Rhinolophus ferrumequinum: one gene and its partner. The protein of the gene in region 2 binds, or shares a complex with, the protein of the main gene of each other region. Links are inferred from orthologs where the notes say so. Each region holds a gene or a part of one and is shown on either strand. Other genes may lie near its edges.

What was found.
Region 1: the proteins of EEF1G (region 2) and EEF1B2 are in contact, whole or in part, in a crystal structure (PDB 5DQS), measured with the Homo sapiens proteins. The link is inferred for Rhinolophus ferrumequinum from reciprocal best matches to the Homo sapiens genes EEF1G and EEF1B2. Residues at the interface, in NP_001395.1 of Homo sapiens: Leu146, Lys147, Thr148, Arg149, Thr150, Phe151, Glu155, Arg156, Pro185, Asn186, Arg189, Leu192, Thr193, Asn196, Gln197, Pro198; in NP_001032752.1 of Homo sapiens: Ala20, Asp21, Lys22, Ser23, Tyr24, Tyr28, Val29, Cys50, His51, Arg54, Asn57, His58, Ser61, Tyr62, Glu65.

What each region holds. Positions count from the first base shown.
Region 1 is NC_046291.1:26,177,052-26,193,036, forward strand, and holds EEF1B2 (elongation factor 1-beta), read right to left. Parts: upstream 8,345-15,985; 5' UTR 8,324-8,344; intron 8,108-8,323; 5' UTR 8,040-8,107; coding exon 7,960-8,039; intron 7,515-7,959; coding exon 7,392-7,514; intron 6,792-7,391; coding exon 6,665-6,791; intron 6,572-6,664; exon of another isoform or gene 6,493-6,571; intron 6,413-6,492; coding exon 6,346-6,412; intron 6,207-6,345; exon of another isoform or gene 6,073-6,206; intron 5,978-6,072; coding exon 5,852-5,977; intron 5,741-5,851; coding exon 5,586-5,740; 3' UTR 5,541-5,585; downstream 1-5,540. Other genes in the region: NDUFS1 (NADH-ubiquinone oxidoreductase 75 kDa subunit, mitochondrial), read left to right, coding at 12,544-12,604, 13,121-13,212, 15,238-15,345. UniProt on the Homo sapiens protein: Catalytic subunit of the guanine nucleotide exchange factor (GEF) (eEF1B subcomplex) of the eukaryotic elongation factor 1 complex (eEF1).
Region 2 is NC_046294.1:8,192,597-8,208,846, reverse strand, and holds the start of EEF1G (elongation factor 1-gamma), read right to left. Parts: upstream 6,920-16,250; 5' UTR 6,777-6,919; coding exon 6,765-6,776; intron 5,700-6,764; coding exon 5,541-5,699; intron 4,856-5,540; coding exon 4,792-4,855; intron 4,638-4,791; coding exon 4,495-4,637; intron 3,962-4,494; coding exon 3,818-3,961; intron 2,639-3,817; coding exon 2,509-2,638; intron 2,126-2,508; coding exon 1,921-2,125; intron 1-1,920. Other genes in the region: TUT1 (speckle targeted PIP5K1A-regulated poly(A) polymerase), read right to left, coding at 7,976-9,141, 9,548-9,640, 9,823-9,933, 10,076-10,185, 10,780-11,243, 12,297-12,397, 12,580-12,895. UniProt on the Homo sapiens protein: Probably plays a role in anchoring the complex to other cellular components.

The DNA of each region.
Region 1 (15,985 bases), on a different chromosome or scaffold from region 2:
TTGGGGAGGAAGCGAGGGGGCTCAGTGCCTAGTTGGCAGGAAAGAATCCTAGGACACTCATGGAGGAGGGCATCAACCTGGTGAGACTGACTTGCCTCTTTCGCAATGAAAAGAAGCTCTTAGGACTAGAGGGCAGGACCCAGGGCCTCTGGAGGCGGTATACCTGGATTTAAATTATGGCTCCAACACATCGTAGCTCTGTGACCTTGGCTAAATTAATTCAAATGTCAAGACCTCAGTTTTCCCCATCTGCAAAATGGGGATAATCCACAATAGTAGCACCTGCCACATGGGGCTGTTGTGAAAATTAAACAAGTTGATGCAGGTATTCATAGGGCTTTACCTAAGGCACTTAAAGCAGTGCTTAGCCCTATACATAAATACCTGATCAAAATTAGCTGGTGTTATACTTAACGAAACTCCTGGCACGTTCTGACATAGCAACTGCTTAGTAAATGTTAAAGCCCTTCCTCCTCAAATGAACATAAAAATTTCATAGGAAGCGTAAGGGAACTACACAGAGAACTTAAAGCAAGATAGTTTGTAAGTGCTATAAGAGTGTTATGTGCTGGGAGCCTGCAAGGGACAGGAAGGAGTAGAATAAAAGACTTCCTGAAAGAGGTGTGTGAAGTGCATCTTGAAGAAGGACTACAACTTTAACAAAGTGCAGGCGAGGAAAGAGGCTGCTTTGGGTAGATGGTGCAACAAGAGCGAATGTACAGAGGTTGGAAAACATGGGCTGTGCTCAGAAAAGAGAATAATCACATTTTATAAGGACAAAGTGAGGACAGAAGATTCAGTGTGTGCCGGGCTTGAAGAGTTATCCATAGTTCTTCACTATTCTTCCATACGGACGGATGGTAGTTCTTTAGGGGATGAGTATTCGGAAGTCTATGGAAACTTTCCTTTGATTTTACTTTCCTGAAAGCTATTCAGGTCAATGACATTCCAAACAACACTCTCATTTGGCACATTTCCTGAACACAACTAATATCATCATAGAGAGAGTATGTCATGAGTGAATGTCTGTTTCTCAGTCTCAAATTTCCATTTTAAGTTTACCCTTATGTGATATTATCTGCTCACTCTCCCTAACTGAAACTATGAAGCCAGGGTTACACTGATGAAATAGGACTAAATTCAGGGATGAAGAACTTTCCCCATTCTATTACCAACACATCATCTGGCCCACGAACACCTGGGTTTGAGTTCCTCCTATCTCACTAGGTGAACACTCGGGCATGTCATCTTTCAGGGTTGCCTCATCTAAAAATGGTGATAACAGTGTCTGCCTTATCTCCTAGACTTACAATGGAGTTTAAATTAGACAATGTATGTGAGGTATGTATTTTTTTTATTTACTTTTTTTATCCTAAGGGCAATAATTGCCATTGCCAAATTATATTTGTTTGGGAAAAAAATTATACATATGTTCCGAAACACTAATACAACTTTTTGTATTTTTGTCTTTGTTTATAAGCTTATCTTTTGATAGTAGTCAATGAAAACATCAAGCATTGTTCAATGTTGCTACAGTTTCCATTATTTTTTAAAGTGATTATATTAAGCTTATAAAATATTCATTGAGTGTATATGCCATAATTTAGTCATTCCCATTTATGTTAGGATTATAAATCGTTTTATTTACCTGCTTCCAACCACACCGTCTCCAGATCAGAGCTCTGCCTTTATCTTGTCATTCTCTGGCTTGGAAACCATCAAGGCTGGCTCCATACTGCCCTCACAGAACAAGCCAGCCTATAAATTCACCCTGGCCCCATCCTACAAAATCACAGACACTGCAGAATCCAGCCAAACTGGTTGAATTGCCTCCCAAATGTCTATTCTCATTCTTGCCTTTATCATTCTGCCTTTAACACCCTCCTGGAACATTCTCTCTCTGGAACATTTTTTTTTTAAACAAACTGATCAAGGTCCATCCAGCTTAAGCCCCGATTTCTCTCAAAAATGTTTCTTCAATTCTAGCCTTCCCGACCCGCTGAACATTTGGATTACTTGCTCAATCACAAAATGACTCATACTTCACAGTTTTGTGTGTTTGAACCACCTCCCTATAGTAATTTTCATAACTCTATTTTTATAGCATCTAACATAGTGATACAAAATGAATCATTTTGAATTCCCACACTGTGCTCTGCCCTTTGCTGGGGATGCTGAATATGAAAAATAAAACAAGGTTTCAGTAATTGTAATCATTTAGGGGGCCTGCAAAAGGAGGTGGCTTCTTAATTTGTTTTCCACTCCAAAGCCAGAAATGGGGGGAAAAAATGTCTTTCTCTATGTATACCTATGCCTTCCTAGTCTGCTGGCTCAAAAGCAGTTCATTCAGTATACTGGCTCACACGCAGATATGAGTACTGCTCATAATAGCAAAAAAATTGAAAGCAACCTAAAGATCCAATAGCCTGGTTAAATAAGATATGAGACAATGGGGTATGTAACTGCTAAAAGAGAAAGTTTTTTTTAATGTACTGATATGGAACCTCCAAGATATAGATCATCTTCAAGATATCCAAGTCCATTTCTATGAACAAAATGCAAGGTGCCCAGTTTGTGTTGCATGCTGCAGTTAGTCTGTGCACATGCTTAGACTAGCTCTGAAAAGACCTAAGAATCTGATGATATTGGTTGCTTTTATGGAGGTGAACAAGAGGTCTGGGGGACAGGAGAAGATTTCGCTGTATAACCTCTTGAATTTTGAACTATGTTAATATCTATTTTTTAAAATATAAAATTAAGATACCATTAAATCTATTTTTTATTCAAGGCCGTGGAGTCAAGATTTTTAAAGTCATGTTTCATCATTTATCTTTTTAAGATTTATAAGACAGTTGTGGTTTGAACTGACTATTCCAGTATTTCAACTCTTTTAAGTAAATTTTTAATCATTACTTTGTCATTAATATTTGTTAATAGTTAACATTTTGGTCAAATGGTTTAGTATGCAGTCCCTTTAACATGTCAATGATTGTGAATTATTTTGGGCTACTATTCACACTAGTTACTTCTTTTTCCTTAGCAGCATTTCCAGAATCCACAGGCTCTCTGGTTCTCCAGAAAATGAAGTGCTGCCCTCTGCTGGCTTTTATGATGACAACCTGAAAATTTCTCCAGTGATTTTTTTTTTTAATGGGGTCTGTTGGACTGAATTGTTTAGCGAGGATGATTTTATTCATCAGTACATACATACCGGATTAAATAATTTTTCTTTATAATTTAAGCAATATCCCACATTCAAGGTAGTCACATATAAAGAAAATCAGATTGAGAGAGAAAAAAAAAGAACAGTCTGGTTCTGCTAGGAAAATTTTGACCTCAAATCATTTAACCTCTGGTCTACAGACTACAAAATAAGACCTTTAGAGGTCAGCAATTTCCAGGCTTTTATAAAAACTGTTAAAAAAAATCAAATGTTACATGTATATCCCAAATTAATATGCAACTGTTAACAGGACTTATCACTTAACATACTGCCTTCACTTGAGTACATTTACCTGTAGCACTACCTCGGTATTGAAATCCTCCTACCGTCTTCGCGATAGGTTCAATCAGATTTCCTAAAGTGTACAATGTCTCACCTACGTCCACCCACCTCTACACCCAAGTTAGGCTTGTGAACCACACAGCCTGGGAGTCAATTACCTCTGTAATCTTCTTTTCAGGACACAATGCTACTCAAAACACATTCCTAATGTTCTCCTTTAACAGCCTACATACAGTAAGGCATTATTTTAACATTTGCAGACTTTAATTCCTTTTATCTCCAAATATTGGGTTTATCCAGCAAATACTGTCATTGATATTATTCAGTATGTGCTTGGCATCATCCTAAGCACTGTATTGACTTGTTTTTTCTTTTTTTTCATGAAATCTAGAGAAGTGAAGGGGTCCAGAATATGCTACTATGGCATACAAATTATTTTGAGCAGAAGGCATTTGAGTTCCAGAATTTTCTTACCTGCATAAAAGCTGCCTCCTAAAGGAACTCAAAATAACTCAATTGTCATAAATCCCCTCCCCAGGAGCAATCAGAGGTTGATTCTTAATCTTTTATCACTGGAAATTAAGTCTCCACATCACACACTCCTAAATAGACATTATCACAAAAGTATTATCACCTATCGTTTCTCCTAAAGGACCATTCACTCTTTCCAAAAAGCCATTTCGTTTTCCTCTAAGTGCCCTGTTGTCCTCCCCTTCCATTATTAAGGTAGTACGTACTCCCCAAAATCTAACCTCATCTTAGTCACATTTTTCTGTGAACTCTCCTACGTAAATGATTAAATGTGACTTTTCTATTGCTAATCTCGTCCATTTAATTTGCACTCCCCAAGTACAGAATCTAACAGGGTAGAGGAAAAGTTTTCCTCTGCAACAGACATAAATGGAAAACTCTAGACTGGGAAAATAAAATATAGAAAAAGGACAAGAAACAGGTTATCTTTTTACAGAGAGAAATTCAAGTTATAAGTTAACTCAAAATACTTGATTTATAAGTATATGTAAGTATTCACAGATTATGGGAAACAGGTTATTTCTCCCTTCCCTACACAGAGGCACAATGCTGGAAAGAAAGCCTTCAGCCTTTAAGACAATTGCAGTGACAAGCTCACTCCCAGGACAGCTGGACACTGAAATGGGATGGGATGAATCTCTGCAAAGGTAAATACAGAGGGTGCCAAAAAGAATGTATACATTTTAAGGAAAAAACTGCATAAAAGTTGTAATACTCAATATATACCGATAACAAAAGATGAATCCAAGTCACATTTGACTTCTGCAATTACAAGAGGTGCTCAAAGAGGTACTCATGATTCTTTACGGTACTCCAACATTCCCACTGAAGAAAATCAGTTCACTGTTACTTCCTTGCAAAGCCCAAGGTCTGAACCATTATAAACCTGTAGGGCTAATTTCTTCATCCAAAATCTGCCCAAGTTTAGCTCCTTGATTTAAAAACAAGGCAAATATGAAAATTTAACATATTGTGGTAAAAGTGGTATCATCATACATTCCTGAGGAATGCGTACAAGAATTATACCAAAGTCCATTTCTATTCATTTATAAAATCTACTTGAGATCTATAGTTTTTGTTAAGTTTTCCCTTTTTTTTGGCTGTGTAACAAGAATGCTGACCCAAATTTATATTACGAATTACGTATTCACTGAATTTCTCAAAATCAAAGGAATATAGTTGACCCTTGAACATAGGTCTGAACTGTGTGGGTCCACTTATACGCAGGTTTTTAAAAATGTATAGCTGGCCCTCTGTATCCTCAGGTTTTGCATCTGTGGATGTAGAGGGCTCGATGCACGCATTGTTTCATGCCATTTTACATAAGGAACTTGAGCATCCATGGAGTACTAGGACCCCTCTCCTGTGGATACCTAGACTTATTTTTGGGAAATCAGTTAAGTGTGGATTTCTGACTATGTGGGAGGGTTGAGCCCCCTTATCCCCCATGTTGTTCAAGGGCCAGCTGTACCACCTTCCCATTAAAAGACTGAAGAGCCAAGGGTTGTCGTTCAAGTTTTTATTTAAGGGTAATGATCCGTGATGGATTTTAGATCTTGTTGAAAGCAGCCACGTCCATGGACTGCACATAGTCCTCAAAAGCAGTGATCTGCTCCTCCAGCATGTCTGTTCCAACTTTATCGTCTTCTACTACACACTGTATTTGAAGTTTTTTAATTCCATACCCCACAGGAACTAGTTTAGCTGAGAAGAACATTAAGAAAAATGTTAGTTAGAAAAATCCTATTGATTGGCAAAGGTTGCAACTATGCAAATTCCAGATGCCAATTTCAAAAAAGCAAAGACTGAACTCACAAGAGCCCCAGACCAAGCCGTCTGCTTGAATGCTCCTGACGCACTCCTCTAATTTTGCCATATCTGTCTCGTCATCCCAAGGTTTGACATCTAATAAGATGGAAGACTTGGCAACAAGTGCAGGTTCTAAAAAAGTACAAGTCACAGCATTATTCAAATACTCAATATTAATTTGTTTCAAAATGGATTATCTCCTTAGCCACACGAAATTATGGGATACATCTTGTTTGTCACACACATGCCCACTTTCTGTTTTGCTAAGAAAGAGGTGTTTAGTTGTGTAACAGTTTCTTTCCCACAGAGGAATGCCACAACTGCCACCATTAAAAACAGCTGCAGACCAGTAGCTGTGGAAGTTATAAGAACAACTTTTATAGGTTTTGAAATCATGACCCAGTCAGTGAACGTGAAGAAGTCACTTCGGGGATCATTCTTTGAAAAAGATTTACTCACATTATGAAATGAAAATAAACACAAATCATAAAAAGACGTACTTTTGGCTTTCTTTGACTCATACTGTGCAAGGCGCTCTTCTCTTAGCCTCTTCGCTTCTTCGCTTTCCTATAAAGACACAATTTAATACATTTCACAAAGCTGGTTGCTCCTCAGCTTAAAGATCATAGGGTCATCACAACAAAGACCAGCTTTATCAGAAAAAAGCAAATCCATCACGAGCTCAGCCGAAAGATGGTGATTTGATTTTACTCATCATGTAACCAGTGAGAATATTTACAGGTAGGAAATAAAGCCAGGATTCAACTCCAGGTAATCTGACTCTAGTTGGTGCCCTAGCACAATACGCTTATTACATACCTCCTCATCATCAGATCCAAAGAGATCAATGTCATCATCGTCTTTATTATCTGTAGCTCCACTTCCTGTGGTGTCTTCCACATTAGCGGGACCATACTTGCCCAAAGCTTTCTTCACTCCAGGCAGGCTTGAAAGAAAGTTTAAATTTAACTATTAGGCTGGTACAGTGTCCTTTTTCAGACAATGTGAGAACTTATTTTCATCACTATTTATCAGCAGACCCCCTTTAACACTCCCAGATAAGCACTTTTATGTTTTCACTCCTTACCCCAGAAATAGTAGTAGTATGTGACACTGTATTCAATACTCACTATGATTTACTCTTTCAGAATGAATATTTGAGATCTCATTAAGTATGCTCAATTCCATTCTTAGTGAACTGCAGTCCACTCCCCAAACTTCCACCCTTGTTGGCAGTTTCAGAAGAATGGCCAAGAACTGAATGACTGAGCCACCCTCTCACCCCAGAGGTGGGCCCCCCAGGTCAGGAACAGGCACATTGGCAGGGCAGGGTGGGGAAAGGCTGAATTGCTGTTGTCCATGTTCTACCTGTTCTGTGAAAAAATGGAGGACTTCAGTCTCTTGGCCTTCTAAAGTCAGACAGAAATTTATCTCCCAGTATCCCAACAAAGCTCATGCCGCCTGGGTCTAATTCTCTCATGGGAAAGCCCTGACTTAAAGCTTAGACAGCATTCTATTCTTCAGATAACTACAAAGGTAGTTTTACCTGGCCTTTTCCTTTTCAAAAGACTTGATGTGATTATACCAACGCAGGGCATGATATAAGTTGGCAGGTGGTGGGCCGGAGACTGCTTCAAACACTGCCACGTCTGCTTGGGATGGCACATACCTGCAATTGATACCCAAAAAAAAAAAAAAGTACACGCGCCTTTAAAAAACCACAACACACCATCCAATAAGTAACAAAAGCTACGTCAAATTACTTAGTGAGATCTCACCCATTTGTTACCGGGCTACCTAGGCTGCTTTAGTTTTGTTTTAAGATCAGGGACCATCTGTTCTAGCTGAGAAATGCCTGTTCCTTAGTAGACCTCAAAGATTGCCATCTCTAACGTAGATACACAGGATTACGTTCATTAACTGAGTAAAGACCAGGAAGAACCTGGTTCAATTAAGTAATGAGCAAGAAAGCACATTTTTGCTCCTTTTCACTTCGCGGCCCCCTCCACTAGGAGGGGCCTGGAGCCCGGCTTCCTCTCTCCAGCGGCGGCGGAGGCCGCGCCACGTGGTATCGCCGGCACCCCGCCGACCCCAGCCCGACACTGCGCGCTCACCCCTCGATGTAGCTCTTGTCCGCCAGGTAGTCGTTGAGCACCTGGAGTCCGGCAGGGCTTTTCAGGTCTCCAAAACCCATGACGTCGGCTGACCCTGAAGCTGGGCGGCAGCGGGTGAAATAGAAGCTCAAGCGGTGGACGCCGAGCACTGAGGGGAAAAAAAAGGCCGCAAAACGCCGGAAAATTCCTTATATAGAGACGGAGGCGTTTCCCTCTGTCGCACCCGGCCGAAGGTTAAAGGTCAAAGTACATCAATCTCCTTCCTCAACATAAAAATCGGGTCTCTGAATTAAACGGGCCCACAAATTATCCCTAGGCTTTTCTCTGTGTTTAAAAAAACAATAATAAAAGGGGCATTTCTTACAGAAGTACCTCCACGGCTTCCGAAAATTACCGGAACCGCCCCTTGAAGATCCGGAGATGACCGAAGTAGATCGGCCTTCGCCTCCCGGACACTTCCGGCGGAACTGCTGGTCCAGGTCGTCCCTTCTCCACGAATCTCCGCCTCCTCCCGGCTGCTACGCCCTCAGCCCCGCCTTCTGTGGAACTGACGGAAATTGCCGAACTCAATCGGGGGAGGAAATGGTCGAATCCGAGGTTACTAGTCCCTCCTGGCTTTCCGTTCACCAGGCCGGGGTGACGGAGTGAGCCGAGGCCGCCATATTGAGTAAGAGTCCCGGCTTCTAAGGGGGTCGGTGTGGTGCTGACTGTTCTGCACAGCAGCCTCGGCGGCTCCAGGGAGAAGGTGAGGTTGTGTTTGGGTGAAAAGGCTGAGGTTCTTTGGCCACAGCAGTTTATTTCTTGACAAGAGTGTTTACTTTTGCCCAGGAGACTCATTCTCCTCTTGTCCTTGACTGGGCGCCGCTTCCCACCCGGCTTGCCCAGGAACCCCCGAGAACCGGCCGGTGAGGCCTGTTAGCCATGGTTTCTGGTCTGCTGGAGCAGACAGGAGGAGGAAGCCCTGAGGAGCGCTGGCCCCAGTGCGGGCTTGTGGGTGACCTTCCCTCTGCAAAGGAAATGCAGGACATTCCCGTTTCTGGAGAGGAGGCCGTTTTGTTCCTTGGGAGACGACCTATGTCAAGTGACTTAGGCCCAAAGACTATTTCCCCCCAAATTAGCGCATACCCGGCACAGTGCATCATTGTTTGGCTGCTATTGCCTTAGCAACCGTCCACGCCTCTGATTGGTGTTTTTGTTTCTTTGTTTTGTCCATTGACAGCGTTGCGTAGCACTTTTTATTCCTTTCACTGGTGGGGAAACAGAAGGAAAAGACATTTTAAAATGTAGCCTAAGGTCGCACTACGAATAACAAAGCTACGCCTAAAAGTTCTTGGGATCTAGTGCATGTACAGTATTGTAACGTGCATCAGACACAACTCTCCTCAAAAGTGTACTGAGGGTATATAAAATGTAACGTGAACTGTTGGCATGAATAAACGAGGTTGGTTTTTTTTTTTAATTGCGGAATGTCCTTTTCCCCCACCAAATTGTGTGTGCACCCTTAAGCAGGGTACTATTAGGAGGCTGCCAGAGGACCTGCACTGTTTTAATCTCAGGAAAGTAGAAGTTAGGTTATTTTCGAACATTGGAGATAGAATTCATTTCACAGATAGTTATTGAACGTCTCCTCTGAGCTAGAACAGAGTCCATGAAGAAGAATTAAATGGGTGATGGGACCGGGGAGTAGTTAGGAAATTTTAGGTAGGCTAGTGAAGCAAAGTCTCCCCGAGCCAAAATTGGAAGGATGAGGAGGAGCCAGAAAGATGTGAGGGAGGAGCATTTCAGTCTGAGGCCACACCTGGTGGAAAGAAGGGAGAGGCTGTGAGAATAGTGTGGAAGCCAGAGACCTGCTAGGAGACCAGTGTGACAGTTCAGGCAAGAGATGATGGTGCCTTGGAAGTGAGTGCCTTGGCGGGACAGAAGGGTGCAGGGTACATGTGGAGGAGGTGGAGTGATACTGTCCCTGTACCACAAAGTGTGGTTCCCACATGGTGGCTTAGTATGTGTGAAGCACATACCATCAGAGTTTTGCAAATATGTGTTTCTTAACGTGGGGGCTACGCAGTATTTCTTTAATGCTGGATTTGCTTTTTTAGGAGAACCACTTTGAGTAGTGTACACAAACAAAACTTTATTTTAACCATAAACATACCTTCCATGAATTTCTTCACAGTCCAAAGAACAGAACCTCTGACTTAATTAAGAGTTTACATTTTGCCCCGATTTTTACACTGAGGAATATTGATGGGTATCCCAAATCTATTCACGTCAACTTTGGAATTTCGATCTTGCCTGGTACTGTCAAATATGGCAAACCTTGATCAGTGGGCAAATTCCTAACTTCTGCTGTTCAACTATTTTTCTAGATCTTTCTCTCTGATTCCATACATTCTAGAATATTCAGTGGATTTGTAATAAACTTCCAAGGTAAAGAAATTTCGTGCTCATTGTGTTCATCTTATTGAACAAACCATATGCTCCAAAAAATGCCCACAAATTCAGCTACTAAAACTCCTTTGAAGATCTTTGCCGGTGGTTCCATAGTACCCGCCTTCCTGAGTCCCGTTCGTGCGGGGCTGCGCCTGATGATGGATTTTCAACAGATAGCCTAGTTCTGGTTGATTTCCTAACTAAAGTGGGCACTACTTTAAATTGTATTGCGACGAATAATATTATTGACGTTTTTACGTTGTATGAAATATTGCATGATTTTGAATCTGTCATTAATTCAGTAAATTCAGGTTGACTTTTATATCAATAAATTTTAATAGGACTGATGTGACTCATCCTGGAAATTGGTGATAAGACTGTTTGATGATTATTTTCCCAAAGGCATATGTGGTGCTAGGTCTTCAGAAAAGGGAAATGACCAAAGTGCATTAGTCCTTGTCAAGGAGCTTACAGTTTAGTAGGTACTAAGATTGATTACTAACAGTTTACCAGGTGGAGTAATGAAGATATATACACAGTGTGTGCAGGTAGTAATGAGAAGGAGCACAAAGGAAGAGCATCTTAAAGCTGATCTTAAGTGGCTAATGCTGCCCAAATTGAGTTCAGCTTCAACTGACATTTATTAAGCTCCTACTAATAACAACACATAGCCTAGGAAGTATTGCTTTCTTCCTGCTTTATAGATAAAGAAGCAGAAACTGTTATTTACTAAAAATCACTCACTAGGAGGTGACAGACCTGATGTCTGCAAATTCAATATCACAAATTCAAAATTAATGAATTTTATGAATTATTGAAATCTGAATTCATAAAATACACATCATTTATAATAGGTATATGAAACTTTATGCTTAAAACATGTATATGTATTATTTTCCCCTCTTACCTTTGAAATTCTTTATGTTGATACATTCTGATCACATAACTTTGCATTTTTAAAAGTTCCAAATGCATTTTTAAAAGTTCCAAAAATTATAATTTAGATCTTAGCCCATATGATCAAATGAATGGACAAAAAACTGAAAGTTTAGATAACTTTTCTTTCTGTTTGCTTATGTATATATCTTTAATCGGTGTTGTTTATATACTCCACTCCCATGTTTTTCATTGATTATTCAGCAAACCTTTTAGAGCAGGGTTTCTCAACTTCCAGCACCGTTGACACTTTTGATAATTCTTTATTATGGGGGACTGGCCTATGCATTGTAGGATGTTTAGCAGCACCCAGGCCTCTGCCCACTAGACACTAGTAGCTTTCCTCCAGTTGTAACAAGAAGTATGTCCAGAAATTGGCAAATGTTTCCAAGAAAGCAAAATTGTCCCTGGTTGAGAACCACTATTTTAGAGCTTACTGTGTGCCAGCCTTGGGTGTAGGCACTGAAGATAGATTCAAGAAGTTCATAATACAGTGGGAGTAAAACAGGCATATAAACAGGTAGTTGCAAATGTGTAAGATAAATGTAACTACTCAGCACTGAAAATGACACTCCAGGGTTGGGGCTTGTGAGAGAGCTCAGAATATCTCAGGAGCATTTAGTAGATAACTGTTCAAAACAGAATGTTAGAAGGCATTGGTAAGAAATGAAGGCAGAGAGGTAGGCTTTATTTTACATCTGTTAATGATAAGCTAACTTATTTTTGAAATTTATTGTACTATATAGTAGTGTTTTATGTTTTATGTTTGATCATTTGTTGATAGTTAAAAAAACTGCCATTTATGTAGAATTAGAAGGCCCAAATTTACCGTATTTTGCTGTGTAATGTGCTCCCATGTATATGTGCTCCCACGTTTTTGGCTCAAATTTTCAGGGAAATAGAATTAGTACTACCCATGTATAATGCGCATCCTTATTTTCCCTCACAAATTGGGCAAAAAAGTGCACATTATACACGGCAAAATACGGTACACAATAGCTGCTCCTTCTTAGCTCCTTGACATTGTACAAGTCACTGATCTCCCTGAGACTGAGTATTTCTTCTGTAGGATTTGAGGGAAAATATCAGGACTTGTAGAATGTTCAATGGAATGATGTATGTGGAGTACTTTTAAAACGATGAAATATACCAAAAAGTTTGTAAATATGGTTTTCTTCCTACAATAATATAACTCTTCTTTGTTTTATTCTTAGCAATATGTTAAGGATACCTGTAAGAAGGGCCTTAGTAGGCCTTTCTAAGTCTCCAAAAGGATGTGGTGAGTAGTTTTTAAATTTACATTTGTGGGTACTATATCTTTGTAAATTCATAGGTCTATGGAAGATTTCTTGAAAGACTCTAAACTCTTAATTTGTTTTCAATAAAATAGAAACAAATGACCCAAGTCAAATGGAATAATTTTCAAAATACAACTTTACCTTAACCAGTTATAGAAATTATCATGGAATAGAAAGTAATGGGAACTGCCCATCTATTTTTGCCAAAATAGAAAAAGACTACTTTTGAAAAGTGGTCTTCCCATGAACACATTTTCAGTGGTATTAAGTTTCAACTTAAACTCCTATTAAAAGTAGACTGCTACATTCTGTTTGGTATTCAGGATTGAAAAAGCTTTTTTCTAATTCAATATTTTAACAATTTGAGTCGAAGGAAGTAGAGGGAAATGGTATAAAATGAGGAAAATTTTTAGGCTTATAAGTTAATCCATTATCCTCTGCTGTAGTAAATTCAACTCTGTTAATTTATTTTTCACCTCAATATTTTTGATGCTCAGTTCGAACAACTGCCACAGCAGCAAGCAACTTGATTGAAGTATTTGTTGATGGTCAATCTGTCATGGTGGAACCGGGAACTACCGTCCTCCAAGTAGGCATACATTCTAATTCTTTATTTCTGTATATATTCTGCTATTGAAAGAATACCAGTTTATTTCCTTTATACTGTTTACTTCTAAAATTTTCAAGATTCCTTAATAAATGCTCATAAAAGAACTATAGTAGTAAAAGTATATGAAAATAAGTTTGACTTGAAATCTTCGCATTTTGAAGTTAGCTGTCATTTATCTGTTTCTGACTTTCTTAGTGAAATATGGCAATTCTTTTGTTTCACTTCTGCTTTCCAAACATAACTCATTAAGAAATTAGAAGTTACCTAAAATAAATTATTAGTTACTGTATGTAAGTTTGGGAGAAAGTAACCTTTGTTTGTTGTGAGCCTGTTTGATGCTTTTCACTTTTATGTAATCTTTCTATTTTCAGTAATATTTCTAGGAATATATCCTACAAAGCAGGTGAATGAAGGGTAGTGTGTTCTTGAGTTTATGCCCTAAATTTTTAATTTATCCAAATTCCTCCAGAACTAACAAAGTTGGTCATGAGGAAGTGATGCTTCATACCATCTGCCAGTTATCACAGAGCTAAATGCTCTTTATTCATTTTAGCCTCCATTTCTATACTATCTGCCAGGCACAGACCTGTAAACAATAAATATATGATAAAAGTGTATTCAAAGTACAGTGCAGAATATTTTGGCAGGTATAGAAGGTGGTAGAAAGAGAAGTTAGGGACGTCTCATGTGATGCCTGAGATTTTAAAGGATCAATAGATGTTTATAAGTAGACAAGGAAGCTTCAAATAGTTTGGTATTGATGGAACATAAGGTATGTAGAAGATGATACAACAGAAAAGTTATTCTGGAAGGTGAGGACCAATCATGCAAGAAGATATATGCCATACTAAAGAGCTTGTAGTTTGATCCATTAAGAGTTTTCGTGGCTGTTAGCAGTATGACAGTGACAGCAGGGCGATGGTTTGGAGAATAACAAGACTGGAATGAGAGATAAGGAAAGAGTATCTTGCATCAGTGGAGCAGGAAAGGAAGAGGCCTAAAATAGATGGTGGCTGTGGGAATGAAATTGAGGGTAGATTCAAAGGAGAGTGAGATGTAGATAGGCTTTTAGGAATGATGAAGGGCAGGCGGATTTTTGTAGTTTCTGGCCTTGTTAGCTTATTTGGGGGATATATACGGTAGTAGGGGACAGAAATAGGTTGAATTTTAACTATGGAACATACACGAGCAAATGCCTATTTAAGTCTAAACCTTGGAGAAGTGGAGGACTATCTGGGTGCAGATGAAGGTTTAGATGTAATATGAAATATGAGCTAGTATGAAAGCTGGGACAATATCTGTCTACTATATCCACTGCATCTAGCATACAGGAAGACTCGATACATTTTTGCTAGGTAGTTAAAACATTGGACATTGATGAGATTGCTTTAGAGTGAGGGCTAAGGATGAAAGAACTAACTAGAGGAAATTCGAATACGTTTATAGGCTCAGAGAAGGAGGAGTAGTAATTGGTAGAGCAAGACCAATAGTCCCCCTTACTAGGCAGATGGGAACTGGGAGGAGCCACAGTGGGAGTATGAATCCTGGGTGGGTGTATGGAGCCAAAGATAGAACCAGATCATAGTCCGCTAGACAGTATGAAATGGAGTCTAATCCGAAAGAGGAGAACTAGACAAAGAAGTCCAGGTGTGAAAGCATTGGCATGGAGTTTGAAGGGAGAATCTTTGTGAACAGTGGTGCAGAGTGGAAATGGGAGTCAAGCTTTTAGCATACCTGAGGATACTTTATCCAGTTTCTTCCACATGAGGTGTAGGCATGCTGAGGATCCTTAAAGAGGAAGCTTCAAAGCAGATGGGTTGGAATCAAGAGCAAAGGAGGAAACTCTCTTCAGGGATGAAGTAAGAATGAAGATACAGATATTTATAAATAGGATTAATAAGATAGGTAGGGGGTGGCCTCATTTTGTGTGTGTGTATGTTTTAGACAAGACAAGGATGAGGTCAGTTTATTCTAATGGCAAAAGTTTTCTCCTTTGTCTTCTAGGCTTGTGAGAAGGTTGGCATGCAGATCCCTCGATTCTGTTACCATGAAAGGTTGTCTGTTGCTGGAAACTGCAGGATGTGCCTTGTTGAAATTGAGAAAGCTCCTAAGGTACTTGATACCTAAAATTCCACACCATGCTGTAGAAGGTAGAAAACTTGAAATCTTGCAGCAAACTTTATTTAGAATCAATATAATTATAGTGGAGAAACTAGCCCTGTTTATTTCTATCTATAAGTTTATTTTTTTGTGTGGTTGATTCTTGTCATTTCAAAGCTGGAAACACATTGATGAAAGTGCTTTGTAAACACAAGGGCTGTATAATTGTAACAGATTTAAAAATTAAAGGTGACTTCTTACAGCTGTTCATATTTCCAAATGGCTGCATGACACACAGCTAGGATGTGGGGTTGGCCAGCAGCCCATTGGAAGTGCTCATGCTGGGCCATTTTCACTAGAGGAGAGGGTTGCAGGGAAGAAGTTTAATTTTATTTTGGCTTATACCATTTTAATTGAGTAGTGCCTACTAATCAAAACACAGTTATTTGATGTTCTGTTGCAGAGCCTCATAAAAAATTAAGAAGTAGGATGTCTTACTTATTTCTAAGAGAAATGTAAAGTGTCAGATTATCATATTATGAATATGAAAACTATAAAAATTCTGCCTTCAAGAATATTCCTTTCTTTGCTTGTTTTCAAATGTATAATTTAATGTTTTTATAAATCAGGTTAATTATAATTACAAACAAAT
Region 2 (16,250 bases):
TACAGAAAAGGTTAAGTGGTGTGACCTGCCCAAGTGAACACGGGCTCTGAACAGCTCCTGAAACAAGTTAGCTGGAAGGACCAAAATTCACTCTGGACAAATGACCGTCCTGGTCTTTGAAGGCATTACCTTTATGACATTAAAAACCCTGGGGAAATCATCTTAGCAGCCCAGTAGAGCACCACGGTAATGCAACAAATAGGTATTAATAAACATCCTCAAAAGGCTTTAATAAATGCCAAGTTTGTTCAAGATTTTAAGTTTTACTGCTGGATTTACTTTCTGCCCAGAGCATAGACCCAATATACGAGTATGTGAAAATCTCTAGCTAATCATTAACACTGTCTATGTTACAACAGCATAGGTAATTTAGGTTAGTTATCACAGCTTATTTACACACACCAAAAATCTTGCTCACTCTTGACCTGCCCCTGTGTTAGGTTCAAGGTAAATCACTTCAGTTCAGAAAGACATACATCTTTTAAGAGCAGCCTTCTTGATCTTGAGGAAAGTGCCTGGGAGAAACAGCTCTCAGCTATACTCCAAGTTGTCCCCCAAAGGCGGAAACAGCAGTAACATTCCATTAATATGTTTGTAGTTTACAACTTGAAGCACAACTACTACACCCATCACCAGTGCACATTCTTTAAACTGGTTTATCCCACACCAAAACCATAACAAAACGCGAGGTCAAATCCTAGCAGACTAGTGAAAGGATGGAAGAGTGGTTAAGAAAAGTAGAGAAAAGGGAACAAAGTATAAAGTGACCACAGAAAAGACATCTCTCATATTGCTTAAAATTCTAATAAAATGACTTGGGGCAGTGACTGAGGAAAAGTTTGATGGCAAAGTATGGAGAGACCGTTTAATGCCATGACCACTGCTGGACCCTTGAGCTAAATCCAGTTAGATCCGGGCCAGAACAGAGATTGCTTCTCCAAGCCCATCTGATGGACCTTTTATGGCCACAGCGCGCTGGTTTGTGCTGGTTCCTGCCCCAGGCAGGAATGTACAGCATTTTCCTCTTATCTGGGGTGGGTCATGCCCTGTACCCCTATCCATCTTGTACTGTCCTATATAAAATCCCTTAGCACCTGCCACGTGGCTTGGAGGACACCCATGTCATCTGCAGCAAGACTCGCCTGGTATGCAAGTTCCCTTAATAAACTCGGTGTAATCATGGAACTGTTGGCCTCCTTCTAAGGTGTCTTAGCCCTAGGAAATTTTACATGACATGGAGAACTGGGAAAGTACCAGGTGTCCCACTTTTTTCACACCAAAAATCTCCCTTTTACTGTACTTTCTTCCAAGAACCCCTACAATTACTGAAAGGAGGATACAGACAACTACCCCACCCCATCTATTTCCTTCTCCTTGAGGGGTTTAACTCCCCCAGTTGGGAAACACCAACCAGACAGGCACTCTGTAGCCATGGTCACCACCCTTTCTCTTAGTGAGCAATGGTGATAGTCTGATTCATCAGAACAGCAAAAAGATAATCAAATGACACTGACATGATGTCCTCTGATTCAGCAAAGCCAGCCCACACAGAGCAGACACAGGCTCTCTGCACCGTCTCCCCGCACCTCACTGTATTAGTTCTGAGGGATCGCAAATTTTAACGAGCAGGCTAGACACCAATGTTCCTCCACACCCAATTCTGTGCCTATCTGCTTTTTTTTAGCTAGAAGGGGAGTTCCAATCTTCCCCATACTAGATGCATTTGGAACTTCCTTTCTACTTTCAAAACTTACCCAATTCTTGATAAATTCAGGAAGTTGCTTATTTCCAACTAAAACATACCTTTAATTTTTTACGGACGACCCAAAATTCTGGGCCCTGGCTGTGAGGGGGATCACGTAGGCAAGAACAGGCCTTTCTTGGGTCCCATGCCCCCTACCCTCCAGTAGCCTTCCTTACCTCTTGGGCAGGTGAGCAAAGGGGTCTTTGGCCTTCGGCTCAGCAGCCAGCGCCTGCTCACATTCGTCCATCTCCTCCTCAGGAGCGGGAGCAGCTGCCTTTTTCTCCTCTTTCCGCTCAGCCTGGGGTTTCTGCTTCTCCTCCCGAGAACCTTTCTCCTTCCGTGGGGTGTCCTTTTTAGGCTGGCTCTCTGCAAATTTTTTAGCTGGTGCAAAGGAAGGGAGACAAGTCAATGTTCTGCCTCCTTCCACATCCCTCCAAAAGCAGGCAGCAAGCAGCGTACTAGAAGAAAACTGCTGGGTACGGGGACAGCTACGGGATCTAGGCTCTCCGTTGTCACCAGCTCACTGAACATCCTAGAGCAAGAACACAACCCTCACACCACGTACAACTGCATCGTAACCTTATTAACACAAACGAGTTGAGAGTACGTGCATACAACCAGGTTCACAAAATATTTGTTACTACGTGATACCCTACATTCTGTGGGCTCACATAACCCAAAAGCCAGACAGGAAACCCAGAGTTCAGATTGAGCAAACCAGCCCCAAACACTGGCCGCATGGTCCTCTGCCTCCTCTGACTTACCATCAAACTGGGCCATCTTCTCACAGAGTTTCACCTCCCCCAAGACAGCCCGGAACTGGCGCTGGTTAATGCAGGTGAGGAACCAGCGGTTGGTATTGGGGAAGGCCTGGCGGAAAGAAGGCTCCAGGACCTGCCAGGATGGAAACAAAGCGCGTAGAGAGAAAGATCCTGAGGAGTTTCAAGCCAGAGACCAACACACCCTTGCTTCTTTCTACCCTGAGGCGCTCCTTCCTCCCCGACCCCCAGCAGCTCTCTAGGGCACCATCTTACCCTGAACGGCTGTTTCCCATTTATCTTCCTAATCCCTAGTCCAGTCCAATTTAAAGAATACTTGGTCCCATCCTCCATTTACTACAAAACTACTTAGCAGAATATTTATATGGTGCCTGACTCCTTTCACAAAGCCACTTCACACCTACAGTTTCCAATCTTTTAAATTTCACATGTTGATAAAATTAAAAAAGGGGAGAGGGGTTGGGACCAACTGAGGGCTATCAATTACTCATTGTCAAATAAACAATTAAAACAATCTACATTAACAACTTCAGAAAGTAAAGAATATTCAACAGCAAAAAGTTTTTTTCAGAATAATGGACAGTTCTTTAACAGCTTCATGAAAAACTCATTTACCACTTTTCAGTTTGCCAAGATCAGAGGCAAAATAATCTTGTGGTGGAGAGGACAGCAGCCAGTTTTGGAGTTCAAATTCTAGTCCCCCACTGCATGCCCTTGGGTAGGTGACACTTCTCCTCACCCACTCAACAGGCTAAGATGACCCGTCAGGCCCTTGGCGTAGGGTCTGGCACAGCAGGGGCTTTTTCCTTGCTATCCCCACGTCACTACTCCGGAGCAGCAGCATCTCATCAATCAGTGGTTTAGGAGGCAGCAACATGTCATCTTTGACCCAATAACCTCAGCAGGGATTACCAGTGTCCTGGTTTTACAGTTTACAGAGGGAAAAAATAGGACTAAAGGAATTCACGTACAGCCCAACCCCCATCTACAACTAGTAAGCAACAAGGCCAAGAACAGAACCTACTTGTGCCTCCAAAAGCTCTCAATGCCAAATTTACCTGTCCTCATGATCGGGCTTCCCAAGAAACGTGGGGACAAACTGAATCTCTTAGCCCTCCCCAAACAAACTAAAGGCAACAGAACATCACCACACTTCTCAGAAGGAAAGCAGTCCTGGGATTCCTAGACGGTCACCTCAGACCGCCTCACGTCCTGGTCCTCACAGCAGGACAGTCACCTGGAAGCCTTGGCACCTCAGTTCTCATCCCACCAACCTGATTCTTTATTAACTCACCTGTTTATAGAGCCACAGCAGGGTGCAGACAACTGTGATATCAGCCAGCGTCACACGTTCGCCCACCAGAAAAGTCCTCGTCTTCAAGTGAGCGTCCAGCAGCCCCAGAATTCGCCTCACCTCCTCCTTCGCATTCTCTGTGGCCTATTGATTTAAAATGACCAACTGTATCAGTGAGGACCAAACCCTTTCCCTCACCCCAAGAACAGAACTCAGGTAGCCATTTCATTTAACCCTTTCAAAGGAGTCAGATTCTAGGATTCTTCCAAACGTATCACAAATGAAGCTCCCACAAATGAAGTCACATAATAACTTCTTCTTGGTGCAGTGCTCCCTCATTCTCCACTGTAATGATCGTAGCCATGTGTCTTTGTATTTTAAAAGGAACCTTAGAGGTCATCTGGTCTAACCACTCCCCTACCATTTGGCATAACCTTCCTACAGCAGAGGTCTCTCCTCTGACCACCATTGACAGATACCAGCCCCACGGGGTCCGACAAAGACTCAGACACCATCAACAGCCCAGTTCTCCAAACTCATACCCCAAAGATTAGGTCCTTTATTTCCCACATATTCTTGGCATCTCCTTTTCTCAACCTATTTTATTCCTTACTCCCTGACACTCTGCAGCTGATATCATCCCCACTCCTGGTTTCTCCCCAAGTTCCAAGGCTTACCTGCTTGTTGTGGTGCATGATGCCCAAGGTGGGGAACACCCAGGTACTGGCTGGGGGCACTATGTCGCTATCAGCAAAGCTCACCCACTGTACCACCTGCGCTGCTGCCTCTGGAGTACGTCCCCGAAGCTCTTCATTGCTCACTGCAGAGGCAGAACACAAAGGTCAGAGCCTGGGGATCGTGCTAACAACAATCCAATCCCTAAAAAGCCCTCCCCTTGTCCATTCCAGTTCATCCTCATCCTCTCGTTCACCCCTCACTTCCAGAACCTCCATGCCCTATCTACTGCAAATTACCGTAGTAGGCAATGGCATTGCTCTCAAACACACAGAATCCATCGTCGCCTTCAAATGCTGGAACCTGGGGACAAAGCAGTCAAAAGATCAATGAAACTCACAGGAATTTCTCACTAGCCAATCCCAGGAAGTGAACTGTTTTGGATAAAAACGTTTTTATATAAGGCTGATGATCCTTTCTAACGAAACTCCTGATACTATCTGAAACTCAGGAACCAAAAATATTTGAATTAACTTGGTATCCCTTACAATCTGAAGTCACATAATAAACCCAAAAGATTTAGATATTATTGGATATTTGGATAAAAGCCTTCCATCAAACAAGCAAAAGGTCAGAAGCCAAGTCTTATATCTACATCTATAATACTCAAAATATTATGGTGCTCCCCACACTGCACTTGAGCTTCTACTCTCAGCCTGGTTATTTCCGTAAGACCCGCGGGGCAAGGATTCTGTTCATAGTTGATACTTGACATATTTGCACTGAAATCAGTCAAAACTCATTCTCTCTCCCACAAATACAAAGTATGCCTGTAATTTTTTTAAAATGTCATTGAATATCTCTTTAGTATCTTCACTAATGGGAATCTGCAATTACCTCAAAAAAAAATTTTTTTTTTTAAATCACTATAATGTGGAAAAAAATGGAAAGTTCCCTTTTAAAGATGGAGGCCATCTCAAAGTGATAGAATCTTATAGCCACTTGGGTTCTCAGGACCAAAGACCCCTCCTCCCACTCCCCTACTCACCTTGCCAGCTGGAAATTTACGGAGAAATTCAGGGGTGCGGTTGGTTTGACCAAAGTGGAAGTGGGGTGGTGCGGAGAGCACGCGGACCTGAGCCCCGCTGTACTGAGCGGCAATGAGGGCTTTGAAGGCCCTCCAGTTTTCAGGGTATGTGTACAGCGTCTGTGCAAGAAAGGGGGGGGAATGTCAGTGTGAGTAGAAGGGTCCCAAGTCCTACATGTCACCTCTGGGATGACTTTCCTGAACAATCCCAATCTCTTCAACTCACTCTTTCACTCCGGCTGGTGAACCAAGTTCTTCAGAATCTGCCATGTGTAATCAGAGTCCTCCAAAACACGGAGAACAGAACTACACACCAACTGCTAAATAAAGCTTGTTGACAGATTTGACCTTCCCTAAGGACATCTGTAGAAGCATTCTCTTCCCCTCAAATAATATCTCCAAGAAATCCAGAACTTCCAGCTCCCTCAGACTCCAGCTGCGACATACACCCCTGCCTTTCCAGAGCCCTTGTTTCATTCATTGATGGTTACCCAGTGCCTGTCTATTGCTGAGCGGCTCACCGCTTCACAAGCATCGTCCTTGTCTCTAAGACACACACACACGCACCAAGACATTTCCAAGTTCCCCTCCGAAGAGACACAGGGACACAGGGACGAATGGCATCTTCTCTCCCTAAAAAACCTTTCTTCCCTTGTCACGCATTTCATTCCTCCGGTCCTGTCCGGCAGTGAGTTCCCTGGTGTTGCCTACCTGGCCGGCGGGGTCCAACTGGTCTGACTCTACAGTCCCGAGAGACCTCTCCCTCCCAAACCTCCCTGATGGACGGCCCTTAGACCGTGGCCAGCCGTACCTGCCCACAAAGACCCTCCTCTTCACCGTCTCTGCTGTTGCCCCACAAAACGGTCGCAAAAGTTCTGTCAACCTGCCCGGATCCCATGTCTCAAGGTGGCAATGAACCTGAACCCCTTTCTCTGGCCCCAGACGGCCAGGATCCGACATCTCTTTTCTCCTATAACCCAGACCCTTCCACCTCTTTGGCCTCCGACAGTCCCAGCCTCAGTTCCCCTCCGGGGCCTGGAAGCCCTGCTCTCCAACAGTAAGATCTCTAGACCCCGAATCAGTTCCCCACTCGGCTCCAGAACTCCTCTGACGCCGGCTGGTCCCACTCGGGGAGAGGATGGCGTCGGATATAGTGACCTGTATGGCCTGAGCCGGCAAACTTACCCCAGCCGCCATGGTGATTCCGCAGAGAAAGGGGGTGGGGCTCTCAGTGCTGCCGCAAAGTAAGCCGTGAGGGAAAGAAGGGAGGGGGGCGGGAGAGCGCCGTGGAGAAATAGCAGCCGGAAAGCGAGGACGGCACAGAAGGCATACGCACGACAGTTCGGGGTACCACGGCAGCTGAATTGGAAAGGGGGTGGGGCCTGCGGACTGGCGCGGAAAACGCTCGCGCCTGCGCAGTGGCTCACGTGACTGGCCCGCCCCTCAGGTATGGCCAATCCGAGTCCCAACGTGTAGAGAGGCGCGGAGAAACTGAGAGAACTAGCTGGACCGCTTCCCCTAGGCAGCTACGTGGCACAGCTGCCATCCCTGCGCCGCGCTGGGTGCCGCAGGCATCCCCCTCCGGCCCGCAGTATAAGTGAGGCCCAAGATGAGAGGCTTGATGGGAGGTCCTGCGAAGCCCCGAACATCGTGACTGTGCGACACGCCACGGTGTGGAGATGGCGGTGTGCCAAATTCCTTTTGACCTGCTCTGGTTTTCTAGATAAGATGAATGTCTAATCGGAGCCTAAGTCTGAAACCCTCTGTTATAATAAATTTAGTTTTTCTCCCATTAAACCACCTTGCATCTCCAGGATGCTGTTATTTCCAGAAGGGCACTAGTCTGTGGGCCTGCAACAGGGGGGAGGCTAAGGGACAACAGCCATATCCCTTCCACCTCCTGTCACTCTGGAGGGATTGACAATTTAAGACAAACTGATACAGGTTGCCATTTACCCATGTTCAGCTTTGAAAATCTTTTACCCAGTTTTAGAAGGGGATGAATTCTGTTAAGTGACGGAATGCGTGAAGAACCCTGAACTCAAATTTCAGGCCCTGTCACCATTCATAAATCTCGGCAGCAAGGTAAAGGAAGAGGCAAACTTGGTTCTTCTCACAGGTACTGTTCAATACCTCTACTCAGCACTCCATCACTCCCGAACTCTCCCAAGTGGGCTCCAGGTGCCAGACACACCGTCCTGGGCACTCCCCGCAAGTTGTGATAAATGGTAAGAAGGAAACAGGCTGAGACCTGTTTTGGAGTGGCCAGAGACGACACCTCTGAGAAGGCTGCATTAAGGTCTGGGGAGGGGAAGTACGAGGCGGAAGGAGCATTGTTACCAGGTGGAAATTAGAGGAAACTGTAGTGTTTATTAAACTAGCAGCTTAATTGCCCTTTAGGGCCCCTGTCTTGACTCTAGAAGATTTCGAAGTGCTTGAGGAAGGAAAACCTGTAAGAAATGATGGAGATCAGGAAACAGGCCTTGGGAATCCTGAAGTGGGGTCACAGTGAGAGTCTGGTCAGCCTGGGAAGCAGACGCCACAAAGGTCAGGAGCGGCTCAGTCTCTGGCCTCTGTTCAGCACTGCTCGGTCCTCTCAGTTCCTGGGTTACCCGAGCCTCAGTCGCCAGCCACTCTACTCCCGTGCCAGCACCACCTCTGCCTCCTTCCTTGGTTTGCTGCTGCAGGCGTCTCCGGGCACGCCGCCGCCCCTGCCACACTCGGTGCCACAAGGCACAGCGCCAGCTCACGGAGGAGAGTGATGCCCCCTTCCCTGTCTCACCCTGGGACCCTTCTCGGGCTGCGTCTGGTCCTTTGGGGCCCTGCTCAGCCAGCGCTGCATGGCCTGACTGCTCCTGTCCTCCAGTGGCAAGGTGCTTTCCAGCCATCAGGGAAGGCTCCCCTGGCTGCCCAGGGCTCTGCATGGCCCAGTCCTCCACTGACTCTCCACTCTCTATAACCATTTCTTCCACCCCATCTTCGCCATGCTCCCCCATACATCCCTGCTGCTCCTCCTGCCTCTCCTCACAGCTTGTTTTCTGTCTGTCTAGTTTCAGTCTTTTGCTTGACCCTCCCTGGGGAGAATCTCCATTTCTACCTCCCTCTGACCGCAGTCTCTTGGTTCCCTGTTCTATATGGCAACCCAATGCTTCTCTGAACACCTGGACCAGGCCAGCAGTGAGCTGGGTAAAGGGAACAGGGGGTAAGGGGATGGGTGTTGCAGACAGCAGAGAACTAGGGGAGCTCGGCTGCAGAAGGGGGAGCAGCCCCCAGTCCCGACCCCGGGAGGAACGGTGCTGGTACTGGAGGCTTCTGCAGTAATTGGCTGCTACTCGGCAGCAGTTCTGTAACCGCCCGGCTACCCGGCTGGTTACATTGGCTGCCACATTGTGACTCAGGTCAAAGGGGTCCTGGAGATTCATGGGGCCGAGGCGCAGACCCTCCCAGAGATTAGAGGGCAGGCCCCCTGCCACAGGCAGTGCCCGACCCTCCCGCAGGGAGAGCAGTGAGCCACGAAGATCCCAACAAGAGACGCAGGAGAAGAACTGGGCTAGTAGGGAACCTGGAGGAGAAGACCAGGAAAAGGGGTTACTGAGAGGCCAGAACTGAGACAGACCCTGAACCAGAGCCATTCCCTTAGCAGGACTTTCGTTTTCCCTTCTAAGTGGCTCAGAACAGTGCCAGAAGCCAGGCTCCTCTGATCCCCATAAACATGAGGCCACGCTCTCTTCCTGTGTCCCCAGCAATGTCATTTCCCAGACGCTACTCCTTCCCTTTGCTAGCAGTGTAACCTTGGGTAAGCCACTTAATTACTCTAAGGCATGGTTTCTTCACATGTGAAATGGCAATAACAACACTAGCTGTCCCCCAAGGCTACTATGAGAACCATGCCTGGTACACAATAACTGTGTTACCTCCTGTTGTGATCAACATTATTTATTAGTCCTCTGTGGGCTCCCCAAACTCACTCAGGGGCTCCTGATTGGTGCTGGGCTCCAGTCTCGAGGCATCCCTGGGGAAACTGCAGTCCCAGCCATCAACCTCCACCTGTTCACCCTCACCTGTGAAAGTGAAAAAGGTGAGGGTCAGCCTGGAAGCAGGAAGATTGAGGGAAAGGAGGGTGAGGGATGGAAATGAGGGAGATAGCGGAGATCTCATTCCCAGGGTAACTCAGTGTGAGTAAGACGAAGAAGAGAAGAGATGAAACTAATGAGATAGAGAGGGTGGAGGCCGGCTGCTGTACCTGCTTTCTGGGTGAGTTGGGACACAGTGGGCAACACAGGAGGGTCCCTGGTCTGAAGGAAATAGATCACGAGCAAGGTCAGGGCGTAGTTATTGAGAAGGGGGCCACTCCCTGGGTAAATAATCAATAATTCCAGTTAGATTAGAGGTGCTTCCGATCCCTTCCTTGGCAGTTTTTCTCAATCCTGGTTCCTGTATTTGCCTCCCTTCTTTGCCCGACACCAACTCAGCCCCAGCTCTCTCCTGCCTCTCACCTGCTAGCCCTCGACCCTGAGCCCAGCAGCGGAGGGTGTACACGAGGGGCCGTACTCGCTCATCCAGCTCAGAGCAGAGACTCAGGAAGCGGGAGTTATGCAGGGCCAGCCTGGGACAAAGAGGAGACGAGGACGTTACGGCTCAGGAACGCTCTGAACCGATCACCCCCAGCTCCCAGTCCAGACTGTAACGGCGGCCAGAGAGGGTTTCCTAAGTGTTTGCTGACACAGTGGTCTTGTGAGAGGCTGTACAAAGAACACGACATCCTATATGCCCGTCTCGGACATTCAGAGCGTGTTATTGTTAATAAAAGCCTGCTCAGGCCTTTACTATGCAAAGAAACAAAGACAAGAAGGGAGGGAGAAGGGGAGAAAAGGAGAAAGAGAGGAAAAAAGGAAATGAGAAAGAGGAAGTGGGGCAGAAGGAGAGAAGGAAGAAACCTATTTGTGTTTAACTTAGTATTTCCCAAACTTACTTAACCATGGAACTCTTTTCTAAATCCCTTAAAAACAGTATCCTAAAAAAGATACTTTCCATTGACATGGAAGACAGGCAGGAGATGAGTGGCAGAAAGAGGGATGGGTCCAAACAAGGATAAGCTTGAGGCGTGGCATGTGCAGGAGCTCCCCCACCAGGGCTCCCTCCTCAGCCACCCCAGAACGCTCAGCTTGCCTTCCCCAACCACCCCCCTAAACAACGGTACCGGTTACTGAGGGAGATGTCACCGTGGAGACCTGAAGGCCGATGGCAGAACTTGACCACAGGGCATCGGGCAGAGGGCACAGTTTGGACTCGGTACACTCCAGGGACACAGCCACGAAGGATGGATCCTACCAACTCCAGCATGGCTCCCTGCTCTGTTTTCTCCCCCTTCAGAGCCTCTGCTAGCTCCAGAGCCTTCCCCAGGTCCCCCTCTCCCCGGTCCTCCTGCAGTGGTGAGGCTGGAGGCAGGGACTGGGGAGAAGCAAGGGTCTCAGAGGCCAAAGCTGAGTCCGGAGTGTGGGGCGCCTGGGAGGAGGAAGGGATTTCAAAGTCCAGGGCTTCTGAGTCTTGAGGAGAATCTGGAGGGTGAGAGTCTGGAGGGGAGGCTGGGGTGCAGGCTTGAGGGTCCAGTGGGGATGCAAGGGCTGAGTCCAAGGATGGGGACTCTGGAGCCTTTGGGGCTGGCTGTGGATGGAAAAGAACTGAGTGAATGCCTCTCCTGCTGCCCCCTAACTGGGAACAGTCTCGTCCCCAAGACATACCCATGACCTACTACTTATTATGTGCCAGGCCCTATTCTAAGGGCTTTACACATGTTAACTCATTTAATCCTCACAATATTTTTTTTTCAATTAGAAATACCTTTTTAAAGCCATAAAATAAGCAGTCTGTATTCTATAAAAATGTCATTGTCATGAAAGACAAAAAAAGGTGGAGGAACTATTTTAGATGAAAGAAAACTAAAGAGACAACACAATAGTCTACTGTCAGGGCAGCTGACAAAATTGGAGTACAGACTGGATTAAAGTCTTGCAATGCTTTACACTTCTACCAGTGTAACATTTCCTCGACTTGATAATGGTACTGTGGTAACCGACTAGAATATTACCTTGGTTCTTAGGTAATACACACTGGGATATAAAGGGTAAAGGCGTGACGTATGCAACCTACTCTCAAATGATTCAGGAAATATAAATTGTGTGTGTGTGTGTGTGTGTGTGTGTGTAGAGAGACAGAAAGAGAGAATGATAAAAGAAGTATTATTTTAAAAGTAACCCTTTCTGTGAGGCAGGAGTCATATGGGAACTTTATACTTTCTACTCAATTTTGCTGTGAACCTAAAACTCTAAAAAATAAAATCTTTTTTTTAAAAAAAATAACCCTTTTGTATTCCAAAAGCAGGATCTGTACGTTAGATGTTAGAAAACACATACGCAAAAACATAACCCCTAAATTACATTATTGTATGTCTTGTTATATATATATTTTTTTATCCAAAATAAGATATTATCCATGCCATTCTGAAATCTGGTTTTTTTCCTGTTGCAAATGCCATCTATCTCGTGCCAATTCCTTTCCGTCCTACCTTACACACATCCACATTCACATCTCTCCAATTACAATAACGCTTTCAGGCCGGTCCTATTATCCCCATTTAACAGGTGAGAGGGAAGGTGCTCACCTAGAGTCACATGACCATTCCTACTGACTGTTCCCAGCTGCTCCCTCTTCACTCACCTGGAGCTCTTCCAAGTCACCCAGATCCAGGAAGAGGTCAAGATCACAGCCATGGACGTCAAAGCTGTTTATGGAAGAGCCAAAAGGACGGATCACACAGCCTGGGTGCCGAGCAGAGAATAAAGGTCAGGAGACATTGGGGGGCTAAGGGGTGGAAGAACATAACAGGGCACAAAGATGAAAGAGCAATCAAATAAACACCTCTAGCTGAGGGAGGACTGGGGATGCAGACGGGGCAGGGCAGGACAGGGTGGGCTCAGTCACAGTGAGGAAGGTGGCTCACCGGGAAAGAACTCTGTGAAGACCTCCTGCATCAGGGCCAGCACGAGGCTCCGAAGCTGCCGCTCAGCCTCAGACAGCTCCCTCAGCCCCACCAGCTTCACCATTTGTGCTCCCACATCTGGGGCCTCAGCTAGTGCTGTGGCCAGCTGGTGACTGTCGAGGGCCGCTCCTTTGGGGGATTTGGAGGCTGGGCTCTGGAACTCTTTCTGCTCCCGTGGTCGGACGCGCAGGCGATGTCCTCCCAGGCTGTGCTGAGGCTGTGACAGGACAGCTTCCCGGGCACCCACGTCTCCCATCTCCACGATGGCAAACACTCCCTGGCAAACCACAACGGGCAGAGATGATGGTTTTGCAACCGAGAATCCAAACACATGGTCTGACAGTGGGCGAGAATTCTGAAAGGGGGACTACTGTATAAATTGGGAACATTCGCTTGCTGTTTCTGTAACAACAGGGAACATATTTAGAAAAGCAATTATTTTCCTCACTCGCATCCCACACACACTACTCTCACCCCAGTCGGCCTCCGAAAATCACATTTTACCTATTTTGTTGTCCGCTATTCTTCCCAATGACACGACGTTACTGGTTATACCCATCCCCTAACTTTTCCTGCTTTAGACTCTTTTAAAATTTATTAAGAATCCATGTAATGAACACTGTGCTTGGTGTAAATATAAACACATAAACCCTACCTCAACAAACGTACCACCTAGGAACAACAGCAAAATGATAACCATGCTGCTAAGACAGGGCTGAGGTCAACGATATCCAATGGAATAAACATATATATATATATATATATATATATATATATGCATGTAAGTGTATATATATACATACATATATGTATATATCTTTTTTTTTTTTGAAAGCTAAACTGTTAGCAGGAGTAGGAAAACTATGACTGCTTTAGGGCCAAAACCTACATCTTCTGTATTCTCTTCAGTGGCAAAGCTAGAGCCTCCTCCTGCTTATAAAAAGGTACCTTTTACAGTAATCAAGACAGTGTGATACTAGCATAAAGACAGACATGCTGATGGAGGAAATGTAATTGAGACTCCAGAAATAAACCCATGTGTCTATGGTCACCTGATTGTCAACAAGGGTGCAGAGACCATTTAATGATGAAAGAATAGTCTTCTCAACACATGGTGCTGGGACAAGTGGATAGCCACATGCAAAACACTGATGGTGGACCCCTACCTCACACCATACACAACAATTAACCGGGGGACAGCCTCACCAGCACACAGGCCTGAATCACGGATGGGGAATGACTGATAATGGACATGCAGTTTCTTTGTGGGGTGATGAAAACACTCTAGAAGTAGACAGTAGAAACAGTTGCAGAGCCTTGTTAATACAATAATTGCCCGAGATTTCACTTTCCGAGGTTTCAGTTACCTGCAGTCTGAACATACTAAATGGAAAATTCAAGAAATAAACAATTTATAAGTTTTCAATTTCATGCCATTCTGAGTAGCATGATGAAATCTCATTCTGTGCCACCTGCCTCACTCTGTCCCACCCATGATGTAAATCCTCCCTTTGTCCACACAGCCACACTGTATATGCTACCTTCCTGTTAGTCACTTAGTAACCATCTCAAGTTATCAGACTCGTGGTTATCAGTGCTTGTGTTCAAGTAACCCTTATTCTACTTAATAATGCCATATTGATATAACTTTTATTACAGTATACAGAGGGTACCAAAAAAATGTATACACATTTTTAAAAAGGCAAAAACTGTATTAAAATTACACTGATGGAGTCGGCCTGGTAGCTCAGGCGGTTGGAGCTCCGTGCTCCTAACTCCGAAGGCTGCCGGTTCGATTCCCAAATGGGCCAGTGGGCTCTCAACCACAAGGTTGCCAGTTCGATTCCTCGACTCCCACAAGGGATGGTGGACAGCGCTCCCTGCAACTAAGATTGAACACAGCACCTTGAGCTGAGCTCCCGGATGGCTCAGTTGGTTGGAGCGCGTCCTCTCAACCACAGGTTGCTGGTTCGACTCCCGCAAGGGATGGTGGGCTGCGTCCCTTGCAACTAGCAATGGCAACTGGACCTACAGCTGAGCTGCGCCCTCCACAACTAAGACTGAAATGACAACAACTTGAAGTTGAACGGCACCCTACAGAGCTAAGAATGAAAGGACAACAACTTGACTTGGAAAAAAGTCCTGGAAGTACACACTGTTCCCCAATAAAGTCCTGTTCCCCTTCCCCAATAAAATCTTTTAAAAAAGAAAAAAAATTACACTGATAGTAACCACTTTGAGCACCTCTTGTAATTGCAGAAGTCAAACATGACTTGTATTCATCTTTTGTTATCAGTATATATTATTACAATTTTAATATAGTTTTTTCCTCTCTTAAAATGTTTTTCCTTTCTTAAAACATTTTTTTGGCACCCTCTGTATTATAACTGTTCTATTTTATTATTAATCACTGTTGTTAATCTCTTAATGTGCCTAATTTGTAAATTAAACTTTATCACAGGTATGTATGTCCAGGAAAGACATAGTATAGTTGACCCTTGAGCAATGCGGGTTTTAAATAAGGAGGTCCACTTACACACGGGTTTTTTTCAATTGACCTGCGCAGTACAAATGACCATCGCAGTTCAAACCCATGCTGTTCAAGGGTCAACTGTATATACAGGGTTTGGTACTATCTGCCGTTTCAAGCATCCACTGGGGGTCTTGGAACATTACCCCCACAGATAAGGGGAGAATACTGTACATGAACAACCACTGAATTGTATACTTTAAAAGAGTGAATTTTATGCTGCCTAAGTCATATCTCAAATGAAAATAAAAGCAGGGGGGAGTGCCCTTCCTACCCTCACTTCCACCATTATGCCAAAGACAGCAAAGAACCAAAGTGAAACCAAGGCGAAAAGCAGCCACTTGGACCTGCCCAGACTAATTTTCTGACTCTGAGAAATCACACGGCTCACCACACTGTGGTTCAACAGCAAGTTTGCGGCCAAAGCCCCACCTAGAAACCACATGTCTCTTAGCCTGTCCTTGTCTTTGTGCACGTATTTCCTTCCCTCGAGAGCCCCATAGAAGGCGTCAGGAGTGGCAGAATTAGCAGATTCAGAAGCCTGTGTCCTAGCTATTTTTCTCCTCTCAATACCAGCATCCCCAGCTACAGCTACCACTTCCCAAGGGCTTATTTTAAACCAAGTAGTTCACATAAACAATTGCTAAGTCTCGTAAGACTCCTATAAGACATGTATTATTGTTCCCATTTTACAAATTAACAAACTAAAACTCAGAGAAGAAATTTGTGACTGCCTCCCAAGCAGGGGCTCAAACCCCAAATATCCAAGTTCCCAGTGATGCTCTCCCTCAAGGAAATGTTGTGGGGATTAAATGAGATATTGTACATAAAATAGCATGGGGCTGGCCCAGTGGCTCAGGTGGTTGCAGCGCAGTGCTCCTAACGAGGTCGCCAGTTTGATTCCCACATGGGCCAGTGAGCTGCACCATCTACAGCTAAGACTGTGAACAACGGCTCTCCCTGGAGCTGGGCTGCCCTGAGCCAGTGTGGGCTGCCGTGGACTGCCGCGGGCTGCTGTGCTGCTGTGCTGCTGTGTGCTGCCAGGAGCGGCCGGCGGCCAGCTTGAGTGGCCGGCAGCCAGTGTGAGCAGCTGGCAGCCTGC